Linked DNA regions of Drosophila melanogaster. The protein of the gene in region 2 interacts with the protein of the main gene of each other region in a pairwise test. Each region holds a gene or a part of one and is shown on either strand. Other genes may lie near its edges.

Region 1 (5,785 bases), on a different chromosome or scaffold from region 2:
ACTCGCCCTTGGGCAGCAAAGCGTGTGCCTTGTGGGCCTCGAAGAACTTCTCCATGTACAGATCGAAGTGCTGCGAAGAATTGAAGGTGCATTTTGTGGTACTGACCACTCGGAATCCGCTTTCTTCTCCCACTTACCGTGTAGTGCTCCTTGTCGAAATAGAACTGCTTTCCCATCGCAATGTACTCTTCGAACATCAGCGGATCCTCCACGCGGTAGACGATCTCGAAGAGGAACTTCTGCTTCATCAGGAACGCCTTGTCAGCGACCTTGATGTCGTGGGTCTTGTGGTAAGCGGTCGCAGTGACCACGGCCACACAAGCCAGGAATGCGATGGCAAACTTCATCCTGGAAACTCCTTCTTTTGTTCGAAACACTCAACTTTAACTGCTCCGGATCGGATGCACTTGATGGATCCAATGCCTAAAGACTGTTGCCTTACCGACGCCCACGGGTCTGCTTATATAGCCACAGATTCCCGCGGTAATCGGAAATAACATATCTGTGACGACGGGATCAGGGATCATCGGGTGTATCTCAGGTGCTCGCCACGAACATCTGTTGCTACTGCACCGCAACAGCTTATCTCTGGACAGCCTACGTTGGTCCCTACATATCGAGTCCAGATTTGCATTCCAAAAATAGCGTTAGATTCGGTTCTTTGTCTGCAATTTCTGCACAAGTTTCAATCGCTTTGAATTTTAATTATTTATATGTATATAATATAGAGATATTACCAATCATATACATATTACGAACTAAAGTTAAGCATTGGCAGGCATTATTTTGAGAAAAGTGTGTACAACGTGGCGTATGAGCAATGTCATAACTTTGACCATTTGGCTACCACTCTATTCCGTTTTTAAAAAAGTTTTAAATTCCATATACATAACGAATTTATCAAGCAAACTTGTCTGCTGCTAAGAGCCTTAACTAGAAGTCATTAAATATCGCTTTAATTTATATATTTATATGTAGATGCAGATGAATTTCATACGTTTGTTGCATGCTTTTAGGCATTCGAACAAAATCATAATCTGTAATAATAGATTCTGTATCTAAGTTGGAAAATTGTATATGCCATGCTTATAAAACAGTAAACAAACTATTCATTTTCAGTTAATAAAACTTAACTTTATTCTGAAACAACGAATTTTTTTTTGTAACGATGCTGAATAAAATTTCAACAATTGCTTGCAATAACATTTTATTACAAAGCCAAAATATATATATAAATATCCCCATCCATATTATTCCTCAATTAAAACACATTAAAACTTTGATCGTTAGTTTAGCCATTTTATTTACTACTAATATCACTCAGTGTATATACATAGATTCGTTTGTGTCTTTGCTCGGGATTTGTGTGTGTGTTTGTTTTTTTTGTGTGTGTGTGTGCGTGTTTTTGTGTAGGCTAGATATATAACATATATCAGTGTATAATATCATATAAAATTGTGCTCCGTGTATAACACTAAAAAATGATAAAAAAAAATTTCGCTAGCTCTGTTTTACTCTTCATTTGCCTGTTGGAGTTGCACTTAAAAACTAAATACTTGCAGCTGGGGGGAAAATCGAGGATCGGGAATCGGGAATCGGGAATCAGGAATCGGGAATCGGGTGGGGCATAAATCTTGCGGGAGAAGGGTGTTGGATAAGGGTATATCTAAATAATAATCGCCTTATGCGGTGGGCAGATACAGACGAGATGGCGTCGCCAGGGGCACCTGAGGTGGCTGATAATCGTAGCCATTGCCGTTGCCATTTCCGTATCCGTTTCCAACTCCATTTCCATTTCCGTATGCGTTTCCAGCTCCATTTCCTTGTCCGTTTCCAACTCCATTTCCGTATCCGTTGCCAACTCCATTTCCGTATCCGTTTCCAACTCCATTACCGTAAGCATTGCCATTTCCATAGGGAGACGTGTAGCTATAGTCATCGCCACTCTGTCCACTGCCCCTCAGAGGACCTTGCGATCCTTGATCGGAGTCCAGGGTCTGCTGCAGGAACTGGAAACGGTTCTTGTTGCCCAACAGGCTGCTGGGATCCACGGTCTGGCGCTGTCCGGCAGAAGCCAAAGGCTGGGGTCTAAAATATATAAATATAAAATAAGTTTTTTATATTCATTATATCATTTGCAATAATAGTGTATGAAACTTCTGATTTGTACGCAAATGTGCTAGTTTGAAGAAGTTCTTAAACGTTTTTTTTGTAAAGTGTATTGGTTACTCACTCGGGAATGTCCAGATCCAGCTCGGTGATGGGATGATAGCCGAACTCATCGGCGGTGTAACGGGTCTTGTACCGCTTGCCATCGGCGCCGGTGAACGAGTAGGAGCCGCTGACCACGAAGGTCTTGTCGTCCTTCAGTTTGCCCACGCTGCTCACTTCGATGCCGTTCTGGGTCTTCAGTCTGAAAAAAAAGTTCATTTTAACTTTAGTAATGCTTCGTAAATTATTTAAAAAAATATATCAAATTACTTGATGCTTTGTAAATTATTTAAAAAAATATATCAAATTACTTGAATTTATTTGCTATGCATCAAAAGTTATTACAGATCTATAAACCTATGTTAAAGTAGTTTTCTTTTAGACTGCGATTCAACTTCATATATAAATATATAATTATGTTTTAATTTAGCCAAACACTATCACTTTATGAACTATATAGGTACCATAGATACTCACTCCAGCTTGAATTTCTTGCCCGAGTTGTAGTTCTGGAGGGTTTCGGTCTTGGCCTTCATGACATCGCCGCTAAAGTGCACCGCCGGCTTGTCGTCATCGATGTCCTCGGGCAGGGTGTAGATATCGCTGGGATTGTACTTGAAGAGGTCCAGATTGCGATCTGTCAGATGCTTGACATCGGCAGCGGCCAGAGCAGCGAAACCCAGAAGGATCAGCTAAAAGATAGAATGCCTGGTTAGTGCCACTTGTCACACGATGCATTAGTCATATCTGTGGATCACAGTCGTTACGATTTATTTTTTTCGCATTCGGATTTGGATACGGATTTTGATTTGGATTTGAATTGGGATTCGTATTTTGCATTTCGCATTAACGGGCAATTAATCAAAGTCGCGCGCGAATCGCTGGCGTTTCTGACCGCACAGCGTCGCTTTGTCTCGCAATTCTCTCGTTTATTTATTTTTTTTTTCGTTTTTTTTTTAGTCTTTTTAATTTTTTTTATCTATATTTGCTGTGATTTATTTGATTTGGTTTCGGGCCGAGGCACTAATCATAATGGGTTCCAACCGTTTCGATATTTGTCATTCGTCTGTTTTGACGTCGATGAGCTATGCGGCTGCTCAAGGTGATATTCAAACACTTTAGGTTTCGGACTTTCCTTAAAGTGTGGGTCATTAGTTCTTTAATTTGGCATACTAATTCTTAGGTAAAGCTTAAAAAAAACTAAAAAGCAGCCTCGCAGGAACTTCGGTTAAATTGATTTTAATGTGTATCTTTTGTTTGAGATTCAAAATAAGCTTTAAAGTCATTTCTGTGGCTTAAAAGTATTCACACTTTTGAAGGACATTTTTTGCGCGCACTTTCACTTGATCCTTTTTTTTATTGAGACACCACAAAAAAAAAAATAACTCATTAAATATATACTTTTCAGTACTTTCGGGCACTTACAAAACTCTTCATTTTTATGTGTGTTTTTTTTTTCGTAACGAGGACTAATTTATGTTTTTTTTTTTTTATTGTAGCGGCTCGGTTAGTTCCGATGCTCACAGATTCTAGCAAATAAATACAAACGATGCGACTTCTTGTTTCCTTATATATGGTATTATCAGCGACGCCGGCAGCGAAGTCGACAGAAATAGGAACCGGACAACGAACTGAGCCTCTGTCGGCGTCGCAGCCGCTTAGAATCAAAAAAAGCCAAAGTTTGTCAACGCTGAAATCGGTATGGTATATATGCATATATATATATATATATATATGTGTGTGTATGTGTGTGAGGAAGGGGATTAGCCCAGATGAGGGGCATCATCCATCGGTGAATCTTCAGCATCCAGAAGATGTAACATTTTACGGGTCTTCTGGACAATTCTCCCTTCTCGGTATCTCCGTTGCTGACGGAGACTGATCGCAGATCGAAAAGCATAGAAATCTGGTTTTCGTGGCAACAAAATTAGAAAACCGCCATCATCAAATTAGCATACACGTTTAATGATGATTCTCTTCCCTGAGTGTGTGTGTGTGTGTGTGGTGTGTGTGTCTGTGTGAGTGTGTGCATGTGCGTAAATTTAAATCTGCGTTAATTTTTTATAAAGCATGGAATATATATATATATATATATATACTAACTATATATATACTATACTAACTTGGGCGACCAGTTTATTTTAGCGGACACCCAAGTTCCAAGTTCCGAAAGTGCCGCTGAATGGAACCCGCAAATCTTTCATCCGTTTCTTCAGCGGAAAGAGGCGATGATGATTCTTCACCACTGATAAGATGCCCCATTCTCATTCTTCGGTTTCATATGCTAATATGCATATCAGTCAGCCTTCGCTTAATTAGCCGTTTCGTTTTCGGTCTTATCAAAATTTATCAAATGCGATTCTTCTGGCGGATCAGTGTCTGTCTTGGTGTCTTCGGTGCTTGGTGTCTTGGGATCTTCTTAAGAGATCGTGAGATCTTGGGCTCAAAAATGCCATTTAACCATTTCGGACCGCACAGGGTCATCGGATTTTCGCTTTCGGTAGCTTTTCAGCGTTTTGTATTTCCATCATTTGCATAGTTATTGGTTACACTAATGGCTCCATTTATGAAACTCTTTGTTTGGTCTTCTAAATCTTCCGAATTTACTTGTAAATTGCATTATTGTTATTTGATTGATGGTTCATGTTTGTATTGGGTTCTCAGAGCGCTTGCCTTGAATTCTAGTTATCTTAAGATAGTTATTCATATTCCATTTTTAAGGCCCCATAAAAATGTAATGTTCAAAATTTACCTTTTTTTAAACTAGTTCTCGATTAATTAATATTTATTTCCTTTTTGCCAATTTTAGAGCTCTAAAAGTAAACAGTTTATACAAATCCTGATATATGACAATATGGCTTATCAAACTGTTTTGAAAAATACAATGACACACATATACACCCAAAATTCAAGGTATAACGAAAATATTGTATATTTTAAAATGTTAATATTATAGACATATTCTTTCGATTTTCTGTTTGCTAAACCTGGCTTGCATTTGAACATATATATATCTATTATTTTTGAACTATTTTTTGGCCAACTTATAGATATTATACATTTATTCCTGGATTGGCGGGTTTTGCAAACATATTTTGATTGAACACTGCATTTATGGCTGTCAGCAATCAAGTCTATCACATTTTGTCTACCCAACGCGTGGATGAGATTGAAATCAAACCGGACCGGACACGCAGCTCTAATGATAATCGCTAATGGTGCTTCTAATTTAAGTTTTATGCTTAATAACTTAAACGAATGCCGCACGGCATTCATTTTTCATTCGAAAAGAAGTATCTCTTTTTTTTTTGGCCATTTAATTCTTCTTCTGGTTGGTTGTTTGATCTTCTTGGCCTAATGAAAACGTTTTGGCCATTTCAGCGACTTGTCAAATGTGTGATGGCTGTTAGTTAGTTAGTTCGTCTGGCTCAACCAACTGAGTTCGCCTTGGAAATTAACCTGGTGTTTCTGATGTTTGATGTCTGCTATTTCGTCCGTGTCTTTGATATCAAATCGCATTTGTTATGCATACTTGCACACGCCCCAGAGTCTTGTCTTTTGATCTGTGAGTCGA
Region 2 (4,511 bases):
TTCCTGGCCCACTATTTAAATGTTTTAGATATAACCAACTCAGCTGGTTATTTAATGGACTTCTGCATGTTTGTGGAGGTCGCCAAAGAGCACAATGAGAAATTTGTTGAGAACTTGGCCAGCTATGTGTATTTGAAGTCCAAGAATTGGGTCATCAAGAGCGGTATTAAGTTCGGCGGTGATTTTCGTAAGTTCTTAACTGAAGAGCTGCGAAATATATATACTAACTTTCCTTTTTTAGTTATCTACAAGCAAAGTCCTCGATTGTACCATGCCAGCTTTTTGGTCATTGTGCAAAAGCCTGGTGATACGGATCACTATCAATCAAAGAACTTGAAGGGTGTTCAACGCGTGGCAGAAACTTCTGATAAGGATGTGCTGCTCCTGACTGTCCAACCGCCTAAGAAGATAAGCTCTTCCAGGGATTTGCAGGAAGCCACAGTAACAGAGACTATTGTGCGGCGTTTTAATTACTTAACTTTTGTACAAAGCAAACAACAATAAGGAACTACTCAGGGACTCTACAACTTCTCCAGCCGGTGCTTCTTGGGTATGCCAGTGCTGCGATAGTCGGCGCGCTCCTGCAGATATATCTGCTTGCACTCCTCCTTGAAGGCTTCGTTCTGATACCACTGGGTGAGGCATTCCTTCAGGGCTGAGTTCTGTTTCCGACAGGTGGCCACCATCAGTATACTGCTGGCCTTGCAGCACTCCTGGAAGTCGGCCACCTCCTTTGAGCAGAACTCCGTCTTGGCACGATCGCGCATTATCTTGGGTATCAGCACTTCGCGCTCCACCTTGCGCAACCTAGTATCATTTGGATCGCCTAGCAAGGGCAGTGTCAGTTGGTGGTCATATTCGATTATTCTGAGGACTCACCCAGTCCATGGGGATTGTGGGGATCCACGGCTGGCTGTTGTTCAAGGCTCATATTGTGTTAAAAATACTATTTATTTTGTATAACAACTTTTAGAGTGACTGCCACCGGTGCGATGAAAAATACTAGGGATATAAAAATACCACGAGTATACTAAAATTAGATTCATTTTTAAGATATAAAATATAATTTTATAATTCGATTTCTTGAATATTGAAATTACTTAATGATCGTCTAGAACACAAAATTTGCCCGACTGATCGCTAATTCAATAATATATTTTTTTTTAAACCGATAAACCACCTTCGTGTATTAAATTAGCCAAGAATCCAGACGCATTTTATTACAAAACTGCATTTTAAATGCTTAAATCAAAACCTAACTAAGCGGCCAGGCTAGCAGCGCTGATTGGCTCCAAATCTCGCACACCATCCTTGTCCACGACGGCGACGGTGAAGTTCTTGAGGTTGACGACCAGGCGCTTCTGGATTTCGGCAATGCACTTCTTGAAGACGTCGTAGGCCTCCGCCTGGGTTATATTGGGGTGCCAGTATCGGTCATAGATGCTGGATGCGAAGATCGCACCATAGCCATGACCGGCGTAATTCACAGGCAGTGCATTGGCCAAATAGTCAATGAAGGTGAGCTCCGGACCCGCGTTGGGATCGTAGCTTTGGGGAGAAGAAACAGATTAGGCACGGAAAGCAAATGGATTGACTGATCTCATGATCCTTACCCGGCCACAAACATGAACACTTGGTAGGGCGTGCGACTGCGAAGATATTCGGCCAGATTCTTGCGAGTAAAATGAGCCGATTCACGTGGACTTAAATCGTAGCCATTGCGCATCTTGTACAACGCTATGTTCTTCGAAATGAATTCGGTAAATTGCTCCGTGTCGCCCGATTCGCCGACGGTTGAAATAAGCAGACTATCCGACACCTTGTGGATTTTGTTCTGATCTGCAATGGAAATTCAAGGAGACTAACGAAATGAGTCCCAAGCCGCCAAGAAAATGAGCACCATTTGGGCTTACCCTCTTTCATCACTATAATGGATCGGGCGTGGGTGGTGTCCGCCGCCAGCATCACGAAGTCAGGGCCCTTGATACCCAGTAGAGTCTCCATGTTGCAATTATATTTATACTTTCGGGGTTTTTTAACGAAAATTACAAGTTGTTTGTGAGTTGCCGAATGCGATGACAAGCAAGTTAAATGCAGAGTGGCCGTATGCTGGGCGGCTAAAAATACCGCTATTCTGAAAAGATACTAATAAATATAAGCTAACACATATTTATAATTTTATTTTATATTTATTATTTATCATTTTAAATTAACTTAATTATACTTAATTTTCAATTATACCTAATTGGTATGATATTCAAATCTTATAAGTTTACTTGCTTACTAAAATTAAAATTAAAATTATTTCAATGTTTCAACTTTGTCTAAATAAAAAAAAACTTTATTTTTAATAAACCCATTTTTGTTTCCTTTAATATGAATATGAATATTTACATATACATAAAAATTATGTTATATAAATTATAATTATAAATTAAATTATTAATAAAATTGAATATCTTAGTTATATATTATTTTTAATTTTAATCGCAGTTAATCAACACTTGTTGAGTGCCCGGTTATAACTTGGCCACACTGTTCCCTTGTTATCATTTCATTTCACAATTAGTTTACGGAATTCGAACTATTGAAACTAAGAGCCATGCAGGCACCACCTCCGGAACACTGTCCTGGCGTCGAGAGCGAGGAGGCGGGCAAGGGAAGTGCCTGTTCGGGCTGCCCCAACCAAGGACTCTGCAGCGATCCCAACAAGAAACTCGAAGATCCCGGCAAGGCTTTGGTGGTCGAATCCATGAAAGATGTCAAACACAAGCTGCTGATCCTGTCCGGGAAAGGCGGCGTTGGCAAGAGCACGGTAACCAGCTTGCTAACCCGCTATCTGGCCAGAAGTAATCCGGACAGTAACTTCGGCGTGCTTGATATCGACATTTGCGGTCCATCGCAACCGCGTTTGATGGGCGCCCTGGGGGAGAGTGTCCACCAGTCTGGGTACGGCTGGTCACCTGTGGGAATCGAAGACAACGTGTGTCTGATGTCCATCGGATTTCTTCTGGGCTCTGTGGACGATGCCATTATTTGGCGAGGACCCAAGAAGAATGGCATGATCAGGCAGTTTCTGAGCGAGGTGGACTGGGGAAATCTGGATCTCCTGCTACTGGACACACCACCTGGAACTTCCGATGAGCACCTGTCTGTGGTTTCGTACCTGAAAGACGACGCCAACCCGGAGTCCCTGCGCGCCGTGATGGTGACCACTCCACAGGAGGTGTCTCTGCTGGACGTGCGCAAGGAGATCAACTTTTGTAAAAAGCAAAATATCCCCATTGTGGGCGTGATCGAGAATATGAGCAGTTTCCGTTGCGGCCATTGTGGAAATAGCTCCGAAATCTTTCCAGCCAAAACCGGAGGAGCCGCTGCCATGTGCGCCGAAATGGGAATCCCGCTGTTGGGCTCCCTGCCTCTGGATCAACAGATATCCAAAGCCTGCGATTCTGGCGAGGATTTAACTGAGTTTAAGAATGTCACCACTGAGGCGCTGGAAGGAATTTGCTCAAAGATTATGGCCAGCTTTAGTTAAGAATAAGTTAAAGACCACTCAGTTTTTAAATAAAAAAAAAGATGCCTGTACAATTTTATGTAACATTTATTATTAAGCATTGAAAGGATAATACCAATTGGAAATACCGATTCACCTGAGGTCATCAAATTACGTCTCGGTCTTTACCAGAAATTAGATTACCAGGCAGTTTACAACATGCCCCTTTACAGGATAAGAAAACATTCTACAATATTGAAGTAGGTTGGAGTTAAACATTAAGTATGGCTGGGGAAGATGGCGGGCTTGCTAGGGACACATCCGTGGTTACTCTTCCCGTGGCATCTGACGGTTGAGCAGCAACCTCAGTGGCGGCCTGTTTCAGATTTTGCGCGAGTATTGTGTCCCTCACCGTACTTTCCAAGGGCGGCGCAAATGTGGTATCCCTCCCCAACTCACTAATCAAGCGGACTATTTGCTCTGACGGCGGCGATTGGCTCTTCTTCGTGGGGGTATCGTCTTGGTTCTCGGCAGCTATCGTGTTATCCCCCTCAATTGTTCCACCCACGTACTGGCTGTTAGCGACCACTGGCGACTGAGTGGGCAGCGTAGGCGGATAGTTCAGCATAGTGATGGAGTCCGTACAATCGCTGACCTTGTATATGCCCACCAGGAAGTTGGCCAGCTCAAACATGTTGACACGAAGTGAAACAATTATGAACTGAGCGTTTTTCGTACGTTCCTAAGTGAACACAACAACAATTGGCTTTAAAATGTGAATGTAAGGCAAGAAAGCAGAGAGGTATTTACCTTGATATAGTGACCCACTATAGACACATTCTTGAAATCCAGCGCCGCATCAATTTCATCCATGAAGTACAGCGGAGAGGGCTTGTAATAATGCAGGGCAAACACAAGTGCCAATGAGGAGAGAGTTTTCTCACCACCTGAGAGATTCGAGATGTATTTCCAGCTTTTCTTTGGCGGTCGCACAGTAAAATTTACGCCCTCGGTG
Region 3 (9,058 bases), on a different chromosome or scaffold from region 2:
ACAGAGCCCGGCGATGTGGCTCCAGTTAGAGCTCCGCTTGGCAGTGGGCTCCTTGGCACTTGGGTCTTGCTGAATCCATCCACGAGCCAAAGTGTTCGATTGCCGGCTTGGCCAAGTGCTGCTCATTGTTCCGTGTTCCAGACAAAGAGAGACACCCCCATATACACACTAAGGCTCCATAAAAATACACACATTCGAATGTATGTATTTTCCTTTCGTAGCCATTTGCCTATTTATAGTTGAAGTATTTATTGTTGCCGGGCCACTCGTGGCATGCTCAAGTGGCCACTCGAGGGGGGCACTTTAATTGCCACGCCGTCCATCCTGGGGCAATGTCATGGCCGAGAAGTGGTAACGCAACTGGTTGTAATCCAGCCGCTTCTTGGACTGTAGCTTTTCCTGCTCTCAATTTCATTTACACATTTTCCCATTTCTTCGCCAACAGCCATCCACAACTGGCACGGCGATGTCCGGTTCGGCCTGGCACTGGATGTCGGCGATTCCGTGGACATTGTGGAGGAGTGCAAGCACTGGTACCGCGGCTCCTGCCCCCGAAAGTCGCGGGCAGTGGGTCTCTTCCCCAAGACCTACATACACATCAAGGACCTCTCGAAAATCGATCCTGTGGTCGCCGAATGCACGCAGGTCCTGCGCGAATGGTCGGAGATCTGGAAGCGTCTCTATGTGGTAAGTGGTTATAACTCGATCTACTTGCTTTATTTGATAAAATATTCCTAATCTTTTTCAGGATCGCGAAGCGTATAAGTTCCAAACCCTGCGCAAAGTTATGTTTTCCATATTGGAAAGTCGGAGGGAACTCCTTAGTGCCACCATGACTCAGGATCAAACTCTGGAGCTTCAGATGGTTGTGGTTTCAAAGATAGATTGGGGCAATCGGTAAGTGATCAGATATTGGATATTGATATAGGGATATTGGAAGCTAATGAAAACATCCGTAGCTTATTGAAGATAGACTTTCATGGATTCGCGTTTCATGTAAAAAACTTAAAGTTGTTCTTGAAGGTTTCCCTTGTTTATAAGTACTCTCAACTAATGCGTAGTACTCTAGTTCAAAATCACAGCTTTTTTCATAAACAATGGAAAATCCGACCTTAGCAATTGAGAAATCCAAAACCACAATCGCTTCCCGCCCACTGATAAGTCCTGGGTTTAGCTGAAATTGTATGTAGAATATTTATTACAACTTTGAACTTAGATAGCTTGGGTTCTCTTTTGCTTTATGTAAAATGTGTTCTTTTCTAGCAATAATCACAATAATTTTGTTATAAACAAAATTGCTTAAAATTACGATATATCTGTAGACTAAATGTTAGGACAAAAATAGCGAGAGCATTGTGTATACTCGTTTAAATATTCATAATCATATTCCTCGTCGTATTCGTACCATTCGATTACTACAATTTTATATAGATCAACGTTTCGTGAGCGTGCGTGAGCGGTAAGCAGATATATAGCTGCATAGGTATTCCTCGATCCGAACTATCCATCTGTCCACTATCGAGCTAACTGCTAAACTTATGTGTATATTTTAAATGGCGCATCATTGTCAACGACCTAACTACGATACCAAGTAGCAAAATCGTTATATGGGATATCCTCGATCGTCGTTCAATCATCATCTTCAACCTACAAATTGCACGGTCTGCCTGTGTCCCTCTCGTTTTTTATGATATTTTTTTTTTCACATTTTTATTTGATTTATTTTTTATTTGTATCTTCTCACTCTGTGGCTCACCTCGTGTCAATGACGAACTGCACCTGTCTTTCGCCTGCCTAGGACCATATTCAAAGATTGTTTCCTTATAATTTTGCTAAATATATTTCGCACAGAACATTACTGAGTTGGATCTCCGAAAGTGCAATTGCTGATTCGTTCTCTTGCAGTCTTAGTGGTAGAAATGGAAATGCCTAACCTCATGACACACAACTCTCTCTATCTCCCCCCTACAAATATTATTGAGAAATCATTGAAATCATTGTTTTGAAGCCAAACCCTGGCCACGGGCTCATGTCTCCGTCTCCTTGCCACCGCCGAAGGTCTCCACGGGCGGATAAATCGGATGGCTGATGCGGTTCATTTCAAGGGTCGATGGTGCGGATGGTGTTCGGGATGCTCCTAGCAGACCGCAGAGCTGCTGCAGCATGTCACTGTACGATCTTGTGCTGAGGTTCTGGCTCAGGAAGTGCAAGATCAGGAAGTCACCAATCTGTTGAGAAAAACCAAAAACGGATTAATATACAATAGGTATGGATGGTATTCTAGTTGAGCACCCACCTCCAAACGCCTAACCAGTCCGGCGATTTCCTTCCGTTGTGCCGAGCGATAAGAACGCTTGATGATGGTCTCCCGAGTGGTGGGCATCATGATAACCACCAGTGAATAGAGCACAGCCACGCCGGAGATGGTGGCCAAGATGATAAACCAGAACCTATGAAAAGTAATAAAGGTTAAAGATTCCCTCAAAGAGTAAGAACCCACTCAACTACTTACCACAGGAAGATGTAGATCTTCTCGTTGAGGATATTCAGTGCCAGCACACAGAGAGTGTCGTGTTTCTGGACCGATCCACTGGGACCGAACTTGTGGAACGTGCACTTGGTGAGCCGGGGAAAGATCTCGATCATCGGATCGAAGCGCTTGTCCTGATCCATGTTGGAGAACTTGAGCACATCCGTACCGTAGGACATGAAAGCACCGCCCAGAAACTTATCCACCATAAAGATATTCACAATCACGTTGATAAAGTTAAGCAGTTCGCAGAAAAAGTATGCGAACGAGTAGCCGTTGTGGGTGTTCAAACTGTTCACGAAATACTTGAGGATCCGGTCCTGGCGATCACGCCGATAGTCATCCGGCACACTGACCATGCCGCGCAGTCCATCGGTGATCATGCGGATCTTGCCGTCTTCCATGTTCTTCCAAACCCAGTGGGGCACGTAGAACATGAGCCCCTGAAATAATTTACAGATTAGTTTGGTCGGAAGCGGGAATTACAATAAATTAATGAAACCACATTTGTCACGTTTAAAGCGAACAGCATGTGATAGGCCACAGTCATACTAAGACTTCAATTAAGTTCACTTAATCTACAGACAAGATGGAACTTTTCGTATTGCAAGATTGCTCATCATCATGTAAATTGAGAAAGCGTGGGGTAAATTATTCAATTAAGTACTACTCCTATGGATTTCAAAATAAATCCACAGCGATGTAAACAATTCAAATTGTAAATCTTTCCTAAGTACTGCGTACATATATTACTTCGAGCGTCACTCACCTGGAAGAATAGCACGAATGGCACCCATTGATAGTAGCTGTGATAGCGCTTCTCCTGGCCGTACTCATTGCCCAATCCCGGACCAGCCACGTCCGTTCCGATTTGCCGATGCTGCTGGCCAGGTATCGTGTACGTGTAGGTGATCCAGCAGAAGGTGTTGATTACGTGCATCGGAATGGCGCCGTCGTTGATGCAACTTATGGGATCGCCTGCAAGCGCAGAGATAGAGATAATTTTTTAGATATGCACTCGACCTCGTCGCAATTCAGATCAAGGGAAACGCAAGCGCATTCCTCGCCAGAAACCTTCTCGCCAGCCGTTCGTCAACGTCAAGTGCCATTAGGGCAATCTCTGGTGGTCTGGTGGAGCTGGCTCCACGGTCCCAATTTGTCGACGCTGTGGGTGCGGTAACGACTATGCTACGGTTACATTTATTATGGCTGCAGACGTGCCTAGGTAAACCTGCAACATTCGGCTGGATGGACGAACGGACGGACGGACAGATAGACAGCCTTTTTTTTTTGGGTGCGCCCCAACTTTATCGTTCACTATGACTCCCCCGTGTTCCTACTATAACTCCTCCCCCTTTTGGATAAACAAAGTGGATACAAATGGAGCTGCAGACGAAGGTGGAGCGGGCTGGATGGGGAATTCCCAGAACCAACCGTCAATATTTGACTGTGGTTTTGTCAGTTGTTCACTTTTGGAGCACTTCTTTTAATGTACAAATATTTGGATTGAAGCTGCGATGGCTTTGCGATGCCTAGATCAGATAAAAATCTCGTAAAATGGGTTTTAAAGTCAGCAAGTTTTCAATGACAAAAAATAAAAACGATTGAGCATAATTAAATTGCCTTGTTGTTTAAAAACCATTTGTTGGAAATGTGCTTAGTCTACTAGTTCTGATTTTTAATAACGCTAATCATTTGTTTATTCAAGGCCTTTTTCTTATCACCCTTTTTCGAATGAAGAGAGATAATTGCTTCGAGTTTAATACAAAGCTCGCTTAAAAGTGCGTGGGAATGTAAAATCATATTAATAACAAGTACCATTATGTAAGACACCATTCACTGAGCCCAGCTTGAGCCATATACATTGATTTTCACGCCAATTTCTGGCGAGGCACAGGCTAGCACCACCACCACCCGTGGGGACCGAGGAATGAGTCATTCGAATAAATGGCTTTAGCTGAAATCCGATCAACGTGTTGCGGTCAATTTGTGAAAGCTCTGCACGCGTTTATGCCTCCGTTCCGAAGAGCTCAAATTCAAATGGGTCGAATCGTATTTCTTGGAATTTAGTGCTGCATTAGCAGCATTGCAGCAATTGCAAAAGCAAACTGACAAACTGGGCTACTCAAGTGCTAAACACTTGCATAGCTGCACTAATTTTCAGTAGGTGCTAACTTACCGATCAGATTGTTTGCGGTGACGATGATGCAACAAGTGAACAGAATGGCCGTCGTGATCCTGTAGTGGCAGCGGAAAACCATGTTGTCGATGACCGCCTTGTCCAGCAGATAGCGTATCTTGATAAAGCCGGACACAGCCGAGACCATGCCAAAGACCGCCATGTTGATGGTTGGTGTGCTGCTGCAACGAAGCTAACTGCAAGTGGAGAAGAGAGCATTAACGAGTTGAGCAGCGGGACACTGTGAGAAATGGGCATAGAGTTCCTAATTACGCTCAATTATTAACAATGCGGTTTATTGATTCGAATCTGTTTTACTTTTCTTTTGTTATTGGACATTGGATTGGGAGCAAGTTATCTTGATTGTGGAGTGCATTGCAATCTGCCTCATTTCTTTTGCCACACTTGATTGCGTTCTGTGTGTTTGCCTTGTGCGTTATCTAGGACAGACATGACATATTCCAAATTATTTCACCACCCTTTACCCACCCATACACGACCATACTTCCTCCCCACTACTCCCAATCTGAGCTCCAGTACCAGTCCATGTTCCCATGCCATACTATATAGCATACCGAACCATTCCATCGGTTGTCTGGGTCTCTCGGCGTTATCGTCGACAAGCCGCACTTACAATTAGGTAAGTGCTTGGGCAGTGCCGGAATTGTTTGTCGGGAGCATAGCTATTTCTCTCTCTAACTGAATAATGCGAGTATGTTGTGCAATCTAATCTAATCTGCGCTAAGCTCCAGGTCCAGGTTGAATGCCCTGCCCTTGCCTGGTAACCCCGGGCTGTCCCCAAAAGTACTAGATAGCGAACAAGTTCATCTCAAGAACTCGGCTCTCAGAACCGGTACAGCTTTTTGTCAACCCACGCATAAATTTCACTTTGTCCCCATGCCCAAAAGGGGTTTTGTTTTCTTTTCCCACTTTTTGGTCTTTTGTCGGTGCTTTTTGGGTTTCGAGTTGGGTTTTTGGATTTCGGCTCGCCGTGGATCAGGTTCTGCTTGGCTTTCTTCTCGGCTCTTTTGTTTATATGCAAATTTTTTTTTTTTGGTGTTTCGGGCTATTGTGTGTGTTTTGGCTGTATTTCATTTCGGCACGACAGATCGCATCGTATATAACTCCGAATCCGAATCGGAATCCGTAACTCCGAGAGCGAAACGCACACAGCAACACTGCGCCGCACGCAGGGCGCATAGAGTCGTCTCTGTCGCACGCATACGAGCGGCAATTAAAGTCGCAAAGTATCTGTATCTGCGCAACGGCAGCTACTCCTTTTAAATGCATCAGCTTCTGCACTGAACATTCAATCTTACCACGCACACAACGCCACGAACGGCACTCACACAGATACGCGGAGAGCACTTCATTTCGGCCCAACTTCAATTCTGGCCTTTTTTCTTTCAATAACTCTTTTTTCCCTCTTTTTTTTTTCGAAAAAGACAAAAAAAGAAACTGGTTTTAAGGTATTTTCTTTTTGGGAGCGGAGCTGAGCGGTCGCGATCGGATCCGATCGGTTGTTGCCACTGTTCTCTCTCATTTTGTGTCGTTTTCCTTGGTGTGTCATTTTTTTTCTCCTTTTTTCCTGAAGGTGTTGCTACCAAGATTGGCAACAGCAACCTGCCAGTTGGCCAGAACCGAACTGCGACGACCCCTTCGCACACTTAAGTGATTCTTTTGCTCCTGCTGGAGTCGAAGTAGCTCCGCTTTTCAGAGCTCTCCGCTCGCATTTAAATTTATTGCTGCCACTTTGACACTTCGGAAACGGGTTTTCGCTCCCAGTATTTATAATTTCTGGCTGGTTTTTTAGTTGTTTTTTGTTTGTTTTTAACTTTGTTGCAAATGCGAGATTTCTATTATACACAAGTACAAACACACAGATACACTCAGACACAGACAGACTCAGCTGGAATTGCACTCGCAACTGCATTCGATGGTGGTGTGCGTGCAGCTTGGTGGTTGCTCAGTGGTGCTGAGCTGTGATTTCAGACAAGTCAATGGTGCCCATACCCGTATCCGTATCTCGAAAATGTGCAGCTGCTCTCAGCGGCGTTCAAAAACCTACTGAAAACCAAGTCCCCGAGCTCGAAACAGAACGATCCATTGTATATATGCCTCCCGAGCCGCGAGAGAGTCGCTCTTGCGATCTGGGTGGTTTTCCCTCTCCGGCGGAACCAGCGATCCCAGCTGGTTCCCGCTCCGAGTTCGTAAATACGCTCAAGCTGCATTCGCGCATTGCCTCTTACCTGAGCCGAGAGACCCGGTGTTGTTACCTGTAGAAGTATTTGGTGCCGAGGTGCAGAGGACCCACCCAACCACCTCAGGTCGCTTAGGTAGTTCTCGCTCAAATGGCTTGATTCTCAGATTTTCCCTCGATCTTGAACCGACTTGAACGAGGCCCAATAACATCTGGATTTGAAATCTGTAAATCCATTGATTAGTTTGGTCTCTGGATGAAGGGGGGACGTACAACTTAATCAGCTAGATTTGGGTTTTAGAGTATGTTAGGGTAGCTTAAACAGTCGCAGTTCAAGTCGACGAAGGGCAAACAAAGATTTAGGAACACAATGGGCCACAACTGGAACATCCAATAAAAGAGTTTAAGAACAAAAGATATATTTAAGACTTGGGCAGAGTTCAAGAAAACAAAACTGTAGATGTACTAAGAGTTTGCTCAAAGTCTCTCTCCTTATTTAAGTGATTTTATTACGTATAGTATTCAATTTTAAAATTTATTGCATTTTAAAGTCTTTTTATTGAATTTAGTACTACAAGTTTATTAAACTTTAACAATACTGCACTGGAAAACTTGAAGTCTATAATACGTACTTTTAGTTCTTATGCAATCGCTAGCCCATGCAATTATTTATCCTTCTATCAATCACCTCTAAATTAATAGGACCTCGAATCCAAACTCAAGTAAGTAAAATTAATGAGGTGGACCCCAAGTGCATTCCAATTAATTCCTCGGAACTTGGAGCTGCCTGTTCGTTTAATTTATCGCTGTTTCCACATCCAGCGAGTCCTCTGACAGCACAGACGCCGCTCTGAAGGGTCCGCCAAGTGGGTCTAAGGAACTATTCGTCGTCATATTCCAGGCCCATATACACGTCGTGGCCGATCGCACACAGATGCGATCTCAGTGTATAGGGTTCCGAAATGAAGATCCATTTGCATGCTGAGAGCTAGACAAGCAACGCCAAACTTGTTGCCAGGCATTCCTCCCATTTCCCTGGGATCTGGGCTCCAAATTCTCCCCCCTTCGAGTTTCAAGTTCCAAGTCCGAAACCTGCAACTCCTTGGCCCGATGGAATGACTCAGCTCGGTGGCTTTGGCCCGCCGCGTTCTTTGGTCTTGGCCATAATGAAATGGCATTTCGAAATGGCTGCTGCTGCTGGTGGTGCTGCTGTTTCCATGTCCTGAACCACTGCGCTCCACTTCGCCTCCCTGCGCGTTGCACTGTTTGTTTATTGAGGGTTCCCGATGCCGGGTTACCATGCCCTTATCCCAATGCTCCCTGGCCTGGCCTCTTGCCTGTGGCCTGTCGCCTCTCGCCAGAAATGTATCTGCCAGCTACACCTTTTATAAAGACATTAAATACGAAATATATGGCATGTGTGATTGTGATACGCCGTGTATCTGGGCCGCTGGTGAGACCAAACCCATAGATACAATGCCATCGAACGCGTTGTCGCTATTGCTTTTGTTTGTGGTTGACAGCCCTGCTTATCGAAGTGTAAATAATTAAATTTTTCTGTATCGTCTGGTTCTCCATCTTGTTGTGTCTTCTCGTTTCTCCTCAGCCTTTTTTTTTTTGTTGTGTCATATCTTCATAGATTTCCAACACTTTAGGCGAGGCTTAATTAAAAAATAATTTGTTCAGATAAGCAAAGCAGCGGTTGGCATTTTTGGGTAATACATTTGGCTGCTTCCCTTTACCTTCACCTGTTGAGCTTTGGGTCAGGCACTTAATTAAAAGCGACTTAAAGTGTTCATTACCAGCAGGGCTACCGTTTGTATTTTTGCGGGTCCACGCAGCCGCGCACGCGCTCCTCTCATATTCGTATCCATGAGATACATTTTCGAGTCGCAGTGCTTCATTTGGTCACGTCAACTCAGAGCCACGGCTCCCGGCGTAACAGAGGTGGCTCGAACCCCACACAAACCTATATATCTCTATATGGCCAGAGAACCAAACATACCATTCCCCAGAGACCGATACCCATAGATCTTGTTCTCCGAGGTCTCTACCATAGCACCATTGCTTCTCTACTGGTTCCGGTTCCAAAATGGAGAATCTCTCTGGGAATCCCTCTCTCTCTCTCTCTCTCTCTCTCTCTCCCTAT

Evidence for each region. Proteins that work in one complex are often made in the same cells at the same time.
Region 1: the proteins of Prosbeta4 (region 2) and Cpr11A interact in a two-hybrid assay, tested with the Drosophila melanogaster proteins (one large-scale study listed by BioGRID).
Region 3: the proteins of Prosbeta4 (region 2) and Inx3 interact in a two-hybrid assay, tested with the Drosophila melanogaster proteins (one large-scale study listed by BioGRID).

What each region holds. Positions count from the first base shown.
Region 1 is NC_004354.4:12,484,945-12,490,729, reverse strand, and holds Cpr11A (cuticular protein 11A), read right to left. Parts: upstream 3,761-5,785; 5' UTR 3,649-3,760; coding exon 3,637-3,648; intron 2,904-3,636; coding exon 2,689-2,903; intron 2,414-2,688; coding exon 2,234-2,413; intron 2,089-2,233; coding exon 1,683-2,088; 3' UTR 1,282-1,682; downstream 1-1,281. Other genes in the region: Lsp1alpha (larval serum protein 1 alpha), read right to left, coding at 1-70, 138-347.
Region 2 is NT_033779.5:16,730,030-16,734,540, forward strand, and holds Prosbeta4 (proteasome beta4 subunit), read right to left. Parts: upstream 2,105-4,511; 5' UTR 2,005-2,104; coding exon 1,914-2,004; intron 1,840-1,913; coding exon 1,614-1,839; intron 1,549-1,613; coding exon 1,260-1,548; 3' UTR 1,151-1,259; downstream 1-1,150. Other genes in the region: Tsen2 (tRNA splicing endonuclease subunit 2), read left to right, coding at 1-187, 242-504; CG17996 (uncharacterized protein), read right to left, coding at 522-826, 880-931; Nubp1 (NUBP iron-sulfur cluster assembly factor 1), read left to right, coding at 2,603-3,538; glu (gluon), read right to left, coding at 3,768-4,238, 4,307-4,511.
Region 3 is NT_033777.3:28,852,434-28,861,491, forward strand, and holds Inx3 (innexin 3), read right to left. Parts: upstream 6,782-9,058; 5' UTR 6,723-6,781; intron 4,907-6,722; 5' UTR 4,873-4,906; coding exon 4,710-4,872; intron 3,509-4,709; coding exon 3,300-3,508; intron 2,974-3,299; coding exon 2,513-2,973; intron 2,451-2,512; coding exon 2,297-2,450; intron 2,229-2,296; coding exon 2,028-2,228; 3' UTR 1,173-2,027; downstream 1-1,172. Other genes in the region: spg (sponge), read left to right, coding at 446-687, 749-897. UniProt on the Drosophila melanogaster protein: Structural components of the gap junctions. Essential for proper epithelial development of the epidermis.